Xenopus tropicalis: one gene and its partner. The protein of the gene in region 1 purifies or fractionates together with the protein of each later gene. This does not show direct contact. Links are inferred from orthologs where the notes say so. Each region holds a gene or a part of one and is shown on either strand. Other genes may lie near its edges.

What was found. The genes of interacting proteins can lie anywhere in the genome.
Region 2: the proteins of tmem259 (region 1) and srprb purify together in Homo sapiens (affinity purification with mass spectrometry; 3 studies listed by BioGRID and IntAct, counting the BioPlex papers as one, with this or other methods). This does not show direct contact. The link is inferred for Xenopus tropicalis from reciprocal best matches to the Homo sapiens genes TMEM259 and SRPRB.

Annotation. Positions count from the first base shown.
Region 1 is NC_030677.2:100,353,675-100,359,281, reverse strand, and holds the start of tmem259 (membralin), read right to left. Parts: upstream 3,674-5,607; 5' UTR 3,543-3,673; intron 3,254-3,542; 5' UTR 3,222-3,253; coding exon 3,024-3,221; intron 1-3,023. UniProt on the Homo sapiens protein: May have a role in the ERAD pathway required for clearance of misfolded proteins in the endoplasmic reticulum (ER). Promotes survival of motor neurons, probably by protecting against ER stress.
Region 2 is NC_030681.2:129,995,903-130,001,662, forward strand, and holds the end of srprb (signal recognition particle receptor subunit beta), read left to right. Parts: intron 1-268; coding exon 269-346; intron 347-1,464; coding exon 1,465-1,547; intron 1,548-2,136; coding exon 2,137-2,273; intron 2,274-3,478; coding exon 3,479-3,533; intron 3,534-3,792; coding exon 3,793-4,006; 3' UTR 4,007-4,873; downstream 4,874-5,760. UniProt on the Homo sapiens protein: Component of the signal recognition particle (SRP) complex receptor (SR). Ensures, in conjunction with the SRP complex, the correct targeting of the nascent secretory proteins to the endoplasmic reticulum membrane system.

The sequences.
Region 1 (5,607 bases):
TTATAGATTTAATTTGTAGACTGTAAGCTCAACAGGGCAGGGACCTCCTTCCTACTGTTTCTCATACCACATGGCGCTTAAAGGAACAGTAACACCAAAAAATGAAAGAGCTTTAAAGTAATAAAAATATAATGCACTGTTGCCCTGCACTGGTAAAACCGGTGTGTTTGCTACAGTAACACTACTATAATTTATATAATAAGCTACTGTGTAGCCACGGGGGCAGCCATTCAAGTTGGAAAAAAGGAGAAAAGGCACAGGTTACATAGCGGATAACAGATAAGTTCTGTAGAATACAATAGTGTTTTATCTGTTATCTGCTATGTGCCTGTGCCTTTTCTCCTTTGAATGGCTGCCCCCAATGGCTACACAGCAGCTTATTTATATAAATTATAGTAGACTTTCTGAAGCAAACACACAACTTTTACCAGTGCAGGGCAGCAGCACATTATATTTTAGTTACTTTTATACACTTTCATTTTTTGGTGTTACTGTTCCTTTAATCTCTGTGTATTTATTCTTATTTATTGTATTTATTATAACACTTGTCCTCCCTGTGTGTAATTGTGCACTGCGTATCCTTGTAGAGTTTTATAAATAAAGTTATACATACAATTCTAGATCAAAGTTTGGCTAGCAGTATAGCAGATGTATGGTGCTCAAGAAAGTAAGTGGAAAATGTTTTTTATTTATTTGGTTTCTTATATCCATTGTGTCAGCAGGTACCAAGGGTTAGGGTATGTCGCTAACAATCTGAAGGAAGGAAACCATAAAAACGCCCACTTTCTCCTGCTGCAGATTATACAGGCAAGCAGAGACAGGACGAAAAGTATCACAATATCTAGCCTACTTAAAGGGGCTGTTCAACTTTGAGTTATCTTTTAGTAACTGTTAGTTATTTTTTATTATTTGTAGTTTAATTATTTCAGTTTTTGCTTAGCAGCCCTGTTTGGAGTTTTAGCAGCTATTTGGTTGCTACAATTGAAATTACCTTAGCAACCAGGGTGTGGTTTGAATGAATGAAAGACTAAGGAGACTAGGAGAGGACTTGAATAGAAAAATAAATACTAAAAAAGTAGCAATAACAATTAAACTGAAGTTTCACAAAGCAATAGTTTTTTGGCTGTGGGGATCAGTGACCCCTGTTTAAAATCTGCAAAGAGTTAGAAGTAGGAGACAAATAATTAAAAAACTATACATAATAAATAATGAAGACCAATTGAAAAGTTGCTCTGAAGTGGCCGCTCTATAACATACTAAAAGTTAACTTAAAAGGTAAACCACCCCTTTAAACACTAAGTGAGAAAGTACATTACTTTTTTTCACATTTTGTCAGAGCAGACCAACAAGAATTTCTGGTGTCTATAATATAAATCTGCTAAACTGAACTCCAATTCCTATATGCCCCTGAGGCCTAAAGAAAGCTATATATTGACCTTATATTTTTCCATGATAGTTGGCTTACCCTAGCAAAATATTTATTTTATTCCTAATTTTTATTGGCAAAAAGAAAAGAAATTTGGCAGACCTACAAAAACTTTCAGATCCATCTGGATAAAAGGTCAATGGTCAGAGCTAAAAATGCAAAAGCAAAGATCTGATTGGTTGCTATAATTAAGCCCATTGAACAGTTTAGAACCTGTTAGTAGTTTATCTAGGAGTTCTTGGCCTCTTGGCGACTGACATTGTTTGCAGTGTATTTTTAGGCATTTTGTTTCAACAATAGAAGCACATTTTCAGACAAAAAAAAGTCTCATTTCATATTGACCTTAGTCATTTCACAAAAACAAAATATATTTAGTAACTGAAAACTGCTCAGCGCTTACCCCTTATCAGAAGTACATACAGATGAAAAGTAAATAATAAGATAGAACAGGAATTATAGCATCCCTTCAAATTAAATTTGTTTAATCTCCCCCAAGATGTCACAAAGCTTGGATATTCGTAAAGGGTCACGAGAATGCTTTTATATTATGAGTTGTTAAGGGTACTGTTTGATTTATCAATAGCATTAACTTTATACAAAGAAAGAAGGCTCTATCTAATGCATGTAAAGTGGTATAAATGAAAATTTACAAAAGAGAGGCCACTAAGTTCTCAATTTTTCTGCAAGAAAGTGCACCACCATTTGCCTTCTCTGCTCTAGACCAAAAGCCTGTGCATATAGGCCAAAAACAATACAAAATGTATTTAATCTCACAGTAGCCCTGTTGGAAAAAACTTGTGACTTTAACAGAAAAACTCCAAAAGGTAACACTGATATTAATATTATAAGAGATATATGGCCTATCCGAATTTCTAAAACAATGGAACTCTAAAAAGTATACAGGTATAGCACCCATTATCCAGAATGCTCGGGACCAAGGGTATTCCAGATAAGGGGTCTTTCTGTAATTTGGATCTCCATACCTTAAGTCTACTAAAGAACAAATAAAACATTAATTTTACCCTATGTGATTGTTTTACATCCAATAAGGATTATTTATATCTTAGTTGGGATCAAGTACAAGATACTGTTTTATTACTACAGAGAAAAAGGATATCAGTTTTAAAATTTTGAATTATTTGATTAAAATGGAGTCTATGGGAGACGGGCATTCCGTAATTCGGGGCTTTCTGGATAATGGGTTTCCGGATAAGGGATCCCATACCTTTATATGACTTAACAATTTACATGACAAAAATACATGTTAGAAAGAAAAGCGATATATCAAACAAAAGGGCCACTACTTTGATTGCATTTATACAGCACTGATAACCTCTGAAATGCTGTGGAAAAGTGTAACCACCATTTACATTAGTCCCTGCCCCAGAGAAGCTTGCAATCTAGGGTCGCTACCACATTCACACAAACTAGGGTCAGTTTTATCGGAATCCAATTAACCTGCCTGTATGTTATCAAAGTGTGGGAGATGGTAGAGTACATGGAAGAAACCCCAAGCAGATACAAGGAGAACTTTTCACACTGTCACAGTAGTTTTGTCACCAAGGAAAAAAAAAAACCAAAACGCCTTTCTTATTACCTTCAGAAGTACAAAGAACTCAAATATTCTGCGAAAGGAAGGGGGGAACAGTCTTGCGTAGGTCACAGCCATCTTGAAGAACAATGCATGGAAGAGACGATCTCGAACATTAATCAAGGGATTCTGATTCAGGTTAGGAGTTCGAACACGGTTGCCATTAGCGTTATTGAGAGGAATATTACCCTGGTTCTCAGACATCTTGATGATGGTTTGGGGGTAAGCAAAGGTGCCTGTACACAAAGCAAAAGTCATCCTTATCACATATGTCCAAGCAATAATAAACACACATGGTGTATGTGTACACGTAACCTAGACGGATATATTTATAAATAAAACGCACAGACATCAATGTTAATGTGCGGTGAGATTATCAATGTGGGTGCAGGGTAGACTTATTTCTTTCCATATGGCTGCACAAGGATATCACAGTGTATTGACTTATTTTCTATGGCTAAAGACAAGGACATGCGTTTATAAACCTGTGCTAAGGCCATTTAGGGGCAGTACAGTTATACTTACTGTACTTTATCGCATACCGCCCAAAAGTCCCACTTTTGCCGGGACAATCCCGGTCTTCTTAGCAAAGTCCGCAGTCCCGGTTCGCTGTTTAAAAGTCCCGCAGCGCCGTTAACGTCTAGCTCCTTGACTCCTGCCGGACAGCTAATCCAGACGTCACAAGCCTCATCTCGCGATAACGGTGACGTCACGGTGAACGTATATATAAGCGTACGGACGCTATACGTTGTCTCCGTGGGGGAGTGACAGGCTAGGTCGAGGTGGTTTAGTGTCTGGCAACTACAAACAGTAAGGCGCTATGCGCTGTGCTGGCTCAAGCAATAGGGGGCCGGTGGTTCACAATTTTTATTTTCTCTTCCGCTCTTACAAGTTATACGTATCAATAGTTTATCAGAAGTCTTTTTGTTTTGCCCCCAGTATCTTCTATCAGAAAGTTAAAAAAAAACTTTTTTGAGAGCAAAATATACTTACTGTTTTTTGGGTTTTTTTGCTGCGCTCACATTATCTTCTTTTCCAGGGCAAATACATGTAAACACCAAAAACAAAACCATTGCAACAAATCCATTTGTTAATCGCCTTGTGCCAGGATGCAAAAAAAATAATCTTTTTTTTTTTCTTTGACTTGCATTTTATTTTTTCTCTGGTGTTTACTGGCAATCAGTGTTGGACTGGGATGCCAGGGGCCCACCAGAAAACCTTAGCCCATGGGCCCACGCTCTCCAAACTATTTTTCACCCATTTCTTACTCAGTCTCTATATTTTCATAGTGTTTTTTATCTTTACATACTATAATCTATTCTATATATTTAGTTGCTTTGTTCCCATAGAAAAATAAGCAATGACCATGAATTAGGCCAAATAGCTAGAAGCTGGGGGGCCCACTGGCACCTGGGCCCACCGGGAATTTTCCTGGTATCCCTGTGGGCCAGCCCGAGACTGCTGGCAATACTTGCTTTCGCTCCAAATATTTGACCAAAAAGTAATAAACATTTTTTCTCTGCTCAAAGCTTTGATTTGTGCAGTGAACAAGTCACCTTATTCCTGTTTGCCAACAATACACACAGCCACTAGATCCACTACTACTGTAGCAGCAGAGATTTTATGTTTAAAAGGGACGTGTGAAAAACAATATCGTGCCAACAAATTGTACTCATCTAAATATAAAGGAAATGCTTTAAAAAAAGTAGTGTTTCGGTCGGAAACTTTGGACGACTACAGGCTTCAGGAGTGCGCATGCGCATAAACGGCAGAGCGAGAAGACAACGGTGGGCGTCCCCGCACCGGAGGAGGCGGCGGGCGTCCCCGCCGCCCCACTAGACTACCAGGTATTGTTACATTCTTGTCTGTGGGATGGCATTTCGAGATTAGTCACCCACAATAGCGAAGATTTATCGGGGGCAAGTAAACTCGTCGTGTGCTACCTCCCTTAGTGTGTACTATGGAGAACGAAGCCAGTATTGCTGGTAGATCATCAGTACCTGATTTCCAATTTTTAAAAGAGTCTTTGGAGGAGCAAATTTTATTGACAGTAACTGGCCAACTAAATACATTACCCACTATTTTTATCTTTTATGATACCATCTAACTCTGTTGGTGATGAGATGCATATTATAGTACAGAGCAGATGAGCCCTTTTAAATATACATTTATATATTTATATTATTTTGTATTTGTAATTTAGACCCCTTACATTAAGCAATCAATATTAAATATTATTTGTACTGATTCCATAATAAATAATTCTAACTATCCTTATACCAGATACATATTTTTGTTAAAATACCAACAATATGCCTCTTAGCTCAGAAACTGTTACATAAGAATGGAACCATAAATATAGGCTTGATTAAAGGAGACATATTGGATAACTAAAAAAACCCTAATCTTGTAACAGCCCTGTAGACACACAAGCAAAGACAGGCTTCAGTTCCCTATCAGGTCAGCATGGCAGCTGAGTGATTCCTATCCTATAGTGCAGTGTGATGAGTGCTGCCAGCCCCCATGCACATCCAGATAATTCAGCCAGCAGGAAGTGGAACAGATGGGTGGGCCCATTAAAATATGCGGA
Region 2 (5,760 bases), on another chromosome or scaffold:
ACCTGTTTCTGTAGCTTTGTGTGTGTGTAGGTGGGTATCAGCAACTTGTTGCTACAGCTCCTAGTACACTTCTATAGCTTGCATCTACATCTCTTGCTTGATGATGGTTACACAGGATTCTTACAGGACCAACGTTACGGTATCCATGTAAAAATGCTGCTGCTCCTCCTCTGGTTTATAATCCATTCTAGTAACATTTCTCTGTTACTAGTATAATCTAAATCCATGAGCATTTTTGTTCTAAATTCACTGTGTTCTTTTATTTTAGTTACTTACAGGAACATACAAGAAAACCCAAACCTCCATCACTGCCAATTGTGCTGCATATAAAGTGAAGAATGACAAGGTAATGGTCTCAGGTTATTTTTTTTTAATTTTTTTTTAAAGGGCATCACAGTGGTTCAGGCTCATAATGTTGGCAGGTCACAGCATGGTATACATAGGCAATGTATTATCCATTGGCTGAGAAAGGTGGGGACAAGTTGTAAAGTACAGAGGAAAATTGTGCTCCCCAGTATGCTTTTTACAAAATGTAAATGTGCAGGTCGGAACCCACATATATATCGTAGTTAGTAATGTTTTATTGTTGGTAAAAGGTGGCATTACATACATGTACACTTAATAACTGAAATTTTTTTTTATTTATTGTATAGATTGTATAGTCATCTATACTCATGTTTCCTCCCTGTGAGAGAAAACCATGTGAAACCTTGGCAAATGTAGATGTGCCCCTGACTCACACATACCCACCCCTCAGAGCACCAAAGCCTTTTCTCTACCCCAACATGTTTCTTGCTCAAAAGTGAAGGATTGTGGGACTTGTTGTTCCTTTACCTGCCCAGTGTCCCATAATAATATATATAATATTCCTGTTCTGGTATTTTGGAGCCCAGAGAGGGTGTTAGTGCAGCTTCTTTGCCGCTAAGTCTTTGTGACTTGGTTGTACTTAGCCTTTATTGCTCTAAAGCCAACGTTCTTTTTAACTGTTTTTATCCGCATTTGTGTTAGCATTGCTAAGGTGTTGGTTTCAGATGGAGGTGTGTTTATTTTCATTCCTGTTTGCTGGAAAGAATTAGATGCATACAGGTGTTTTACAGTATTTGAAAGAAGACTTAACAGTACTGTAGAGACACTCGGATTTTTTGGTGGACCAAACAAAAGCCGCATATAAGCTTTCAGGGGGGACCCTTCTGTTAGGTGTGGTTTTCTTTGCATTCATGGAATAAATGCATTAAAGCTTTGTTTGGCCATCCAAAGAATCTGCATGCATCTTTTCTTGTATAATAGAGGACTATGGCTTGGAGATGTTTGTGGACATGGTGAGCTCCAGTTCCTCATATCTAATGTGAGCAGTGTGTGCAAGAAAACATGTTATTCCATGAACTACTTTTATCCCACAGACAATAAATAATTAACAACATTTTGACCATTTTACCTTTTGATTTTTTTTTTTTTCTCCCAAAGGGTTCCAGTTTGACGCTTGTTGACCTCCCTGGCCATGAAAGTTTGAGGCTTCAGTTCCTGGAGCAATATAAAGCATCAGCAAGGTATAACCTATAAGTACAGTCTTGGAGCATGTATGCTATTTGATTCGTTAGGGACAGGCATAAAAGACACACAAATGTTAAAGTTAGCTCTGATACTCTGAGGCAATTTGCAGTTGGTCCATTTTCTATATATTTTGTGCAGTTTATTGCATTTATCAGGTGCTAAAACATAAAGTGCTATTATCTATTCCTCATTTTTCTGATCAGCTCCTAACTATTCATCTTCCAGCCTGCCATTCAAACCACTATTAGTGCAAGTGAGACTCTCCCTGGCTATTGCCCATATTCATCCATGGACAATGGCGTGTAGCTCTCCCCGTTATGGTACAAACATTTTTTATAAGCTCACATTACATAGATGAAATGGCAGTGTACATACTTAACCCAAATGAATAAAATATGTAACTGGCTAAATGTGTCTCTACAAAATATTAAAGTCTTTGGTTAAATGTCTATGCAAATTTCAAAAATGTAACGGAGCAATAGCCTAGAGTAGGATTTGTTCAGAAAATGAGAGACTTGTTAAGCGGCCTAAATATTCTTACAAAAGGCATTAAGGATAAAACAGTATAATTTACATTTGTTTCAGGGCATTGCTGTTTGTAGTGGACAGTTCCGCGTTCCAGCGTGAGGTGAAGGAGGTGGCAGAGCTTTTTTACCAACTTTTGACAGATGTTGCAATACTGAAAAATGTGCCACCAATACTTATTGCGTGCAATAAGCAAGGTATGTGCCTCTCTCCGATATTTATACACAGGCTTTTAGGGGGCTCATTTATTAAAGCTGGGCAAAGCTGCACCTGGGCAGTAACCCATATTAAAGGAACAGTAACACCAAAAAATGAAAGTGTGTAAAAGTAACTAAACTATAATGTGCTGCTGCCCTGCACTGGTAAAAGTTGTGTGTTTACTTCAGAAAGTCTACTATAATTTATATAAATAAGCTGCTATGTAGCCATGGAGGCAGCCATTCAAAGGAGAAAAGGCACAGACACATAGCAGATAACAGATAAAACACTATTGTATTCTATATAACTTATCTGTTATCTGCTATGTAACCTGTGCCTTTTCTCCTTTTTTCCAGCTTGAATGGCTGCCCCCGTGGCTACACAGCAGCTTATTATATAAATTATAGTAGTGTTACTGTAGCAAACACACCAGTTTTACCAGTGCAGGGCAACAGTTTATTATATTTTTATTACTTTAAAGCTCTTTCATTTTGTGGTGTTACTGTTCCTTTAAACAATCATGGCTAATCTACTTGACTGTCTCTGCTGTGATTAAAGCAGTGAAAGGAAAAACATGTTTGATTACAATATGCAAATTTGCCCAGCCTTGATAAATGAGCCCTAGAAGTACTCTCTTCATCCTTTAGTGTCATGGCACATGAGGAGATAAGTCACCCATGGTTAATCTTCGCTTCCACGGGCACCGCCTCTTCCTGAAATTCCTTTCCACTGGCAATAAAGAGAACAGCTGGTGGGAAGGTATTTTGGAAAGTTTAGGCACCTGTGGGAGCGGAGATTTAACTGTGACCAACTAATCTCCCCTTGTGCTTCTGAGGAAGTGGTGGGACACCACGAAACGCATAAAGCACAGGTCCTTTGGATGTACATGTGTCCTCTTTTTTTTATTTTACACATGATTGAATAAAGATTGCCTTTTTTTTTAATTCAGCTCCTTGTGGTGCTCCCCTTTAATCTCCAAACTTTCATGTGACTGTATATCTATATCTATCAATCTATCTCTATTAATATACATACAGTACTTGTGCACTGGACAGTAGAATTCCTTAAATGTTTTGTTTTAATTTGAGTTCTCCTGCATGTCCTGTTTGTCCTTTAACATTTTCTTGGTAGACTATTATTTGTATGCTTGAAGCCCTGCAACTTTTGTCTGCAGCCATTAATTTATGTCTTAATATTCTCACAGATATTTCAATGGCCAAATCTGCCAAACTTATACAGCAGCAGCTGGAGAAAGAGCTGTAAGTAACGATAAATCACTCTGGGGGAAATTCATTCAAAGCATACATTGGTCATACAAATTAATAGTTTTTTGCATTGCACATAATGCCTATTAAATATTTAGCACAGTGCAATGTTTTGCATAATGTCTAGTAACATCCTAAATGGGGCTGTGCTTCTCACTGCCAGAGAGGCTTGTGATACGCTGCAGCATATTGCTCTATTATATATGCTGATATTTTTATATACAAGTCTCTTTTCCTTCTTTCTGTTTAATAGGAACACTCTTCGTGTCACCCGCTCAGCTGCCCCTAGCATCTTGGAGAGTGGAAACTCTGGCGTCACGCAGCTTGGGAAGAAAGGCAAAGACTTTGATTTTACCCAGTTGCCTATGAAGGTAAAATTCCTGGAATGCAGCACTCGGGACAGTAAAGAAGAGGACGGTGATGCCAATATCAGTAATGTTGAGGGCTGGCTGGCGAAGCTGGTTTGAGAAACTTTTCCCAAGTTGTACAAGGACACAGGTGCTAAGATGATGAAACATTGAATGGATTTTTCTGCATCTTGACTCGTAAGGGAAACCCTTATTTGGTTGGTGCCTTGTTCATGACTGCTGCATTGGTGAGGCTGCCGCTTTCTTACTATGCTTTAGACAAAAGAAACGTGCAGCTCTGAGGAAACAGTGTCTATTTTGTCAGCTCTTGTACTCCATGTCACTTGAACAATAACCAAAATGTAATGAATTCCTTACATGCTGGATTTCCACCTCCCATTCTGTGCTGAGGGAATGGTTAATGCAGAGCAACCTGTATTTCTCCAGCCTTTGTCTAGCTACAACTTCCACTGTACCATTTACAGCCTTTGGCATGGACGTTAGGTACATGTTTAGACATCTGGAGGACCACAGGTTGTGTTGTGCCACCAACCAGTGGCTCAGGGGCAACATGTTGCTCACCAACCCCTTGGATCTTGCGCTCAGTGCCCCCAAACCAGGTAGTTATTTTTGAATTCCTGACTTAGTGGCAAGTTTTGGTTTAATAAAAACAAGATTTACTCCCAAATAAAGCCTCCTGTAAGCTGATAGAGACTGCCTAATAGCCAATCTTAGCCCTTATTTGGCACCTTCATGAACTTTTATAATGCTTTAGTTGCTCTCCAAGTCTTTTTACATTTGGCTGTTACTCACTAGTAAGAAAGGCTGGGAACCCCTGCTCTAGGGACATATATTTATTTTGAATTTGAACTTTCAAATAAATCAGTATTAAAGTGGAAGTTCACCTTCAGTTTATTGCTATGTTTTTTTATTTATTTATTTTGCCATCCCTCTTTGTTTTATTCTTTTTAAAACTTCTTCAGTCTGCTTTGTCTTTCTTTTTTGTCATTACTCTCATGACTAGGGTCAGCAATCCTAGAAACTAGGCAGTACATATAAATCTTTTTAAACTGCCAGTTTAAGTGCACTGTAGAGGAATCAAAATATGGTGTCAATTTGTATCTCATGTATTGTGCTGTTTTGAAAGCACATTGCGTTAGTATTGCTTTTTCTGGGGGGGTGAATACAAGAGAATTGCAAGGCAGAGAGAATTCTAACAGAATATAAGGGGAAAAGGAGAGCACAAGTGTGGTCATGAGAGAAAAAGAAAATAGATGAAGTGGACACCTGAAGAGAAGTCAAAAGAAGGACTGGGGGAAAAAAAGAATGGGAGATGGGAGTTAAAAAAAAAAAAAAAAACAAAGAAAATAATTAAAGAGAAAACAACATTTTGGATCAGAAAATAACAAGAGTTAGAAAAAGAGGGAACAAAAGCAAGAATCAGAAAATTATATAAGGTGCTAAAGCAAAATGTTGAGGCACTCTTGGACTCTGCATTGTGATCTACCTTATCAAGTGCTTTGCTGATCATCTTTCAATGAAGCTATTCTATCTTAGAAATGATTGCTTATATAGTGCTAAAAGTACATTTTGGGGTAAACTGTTTTTAATTCTGCCTTAAGTTATATATTATAAGAACAAGCTCAGCACTCTTCTGCACTCATTTTTAATATTGCGTGCCCTTCCTCATGATACATACAAGGTATGTACAAACACAGAAGAACTTTCAGCCATGATTATGCAAAAAAGCAAGACAAGAAGCCCATCATTACATGAGTCCTTACTGCCCCCAGTAACTATCATTAGCTTTGTGTAACAGTATAGGCCTTCCAATTCCTTTCTTATGAACCCAGCGTCATGACCGGTTTATCTAT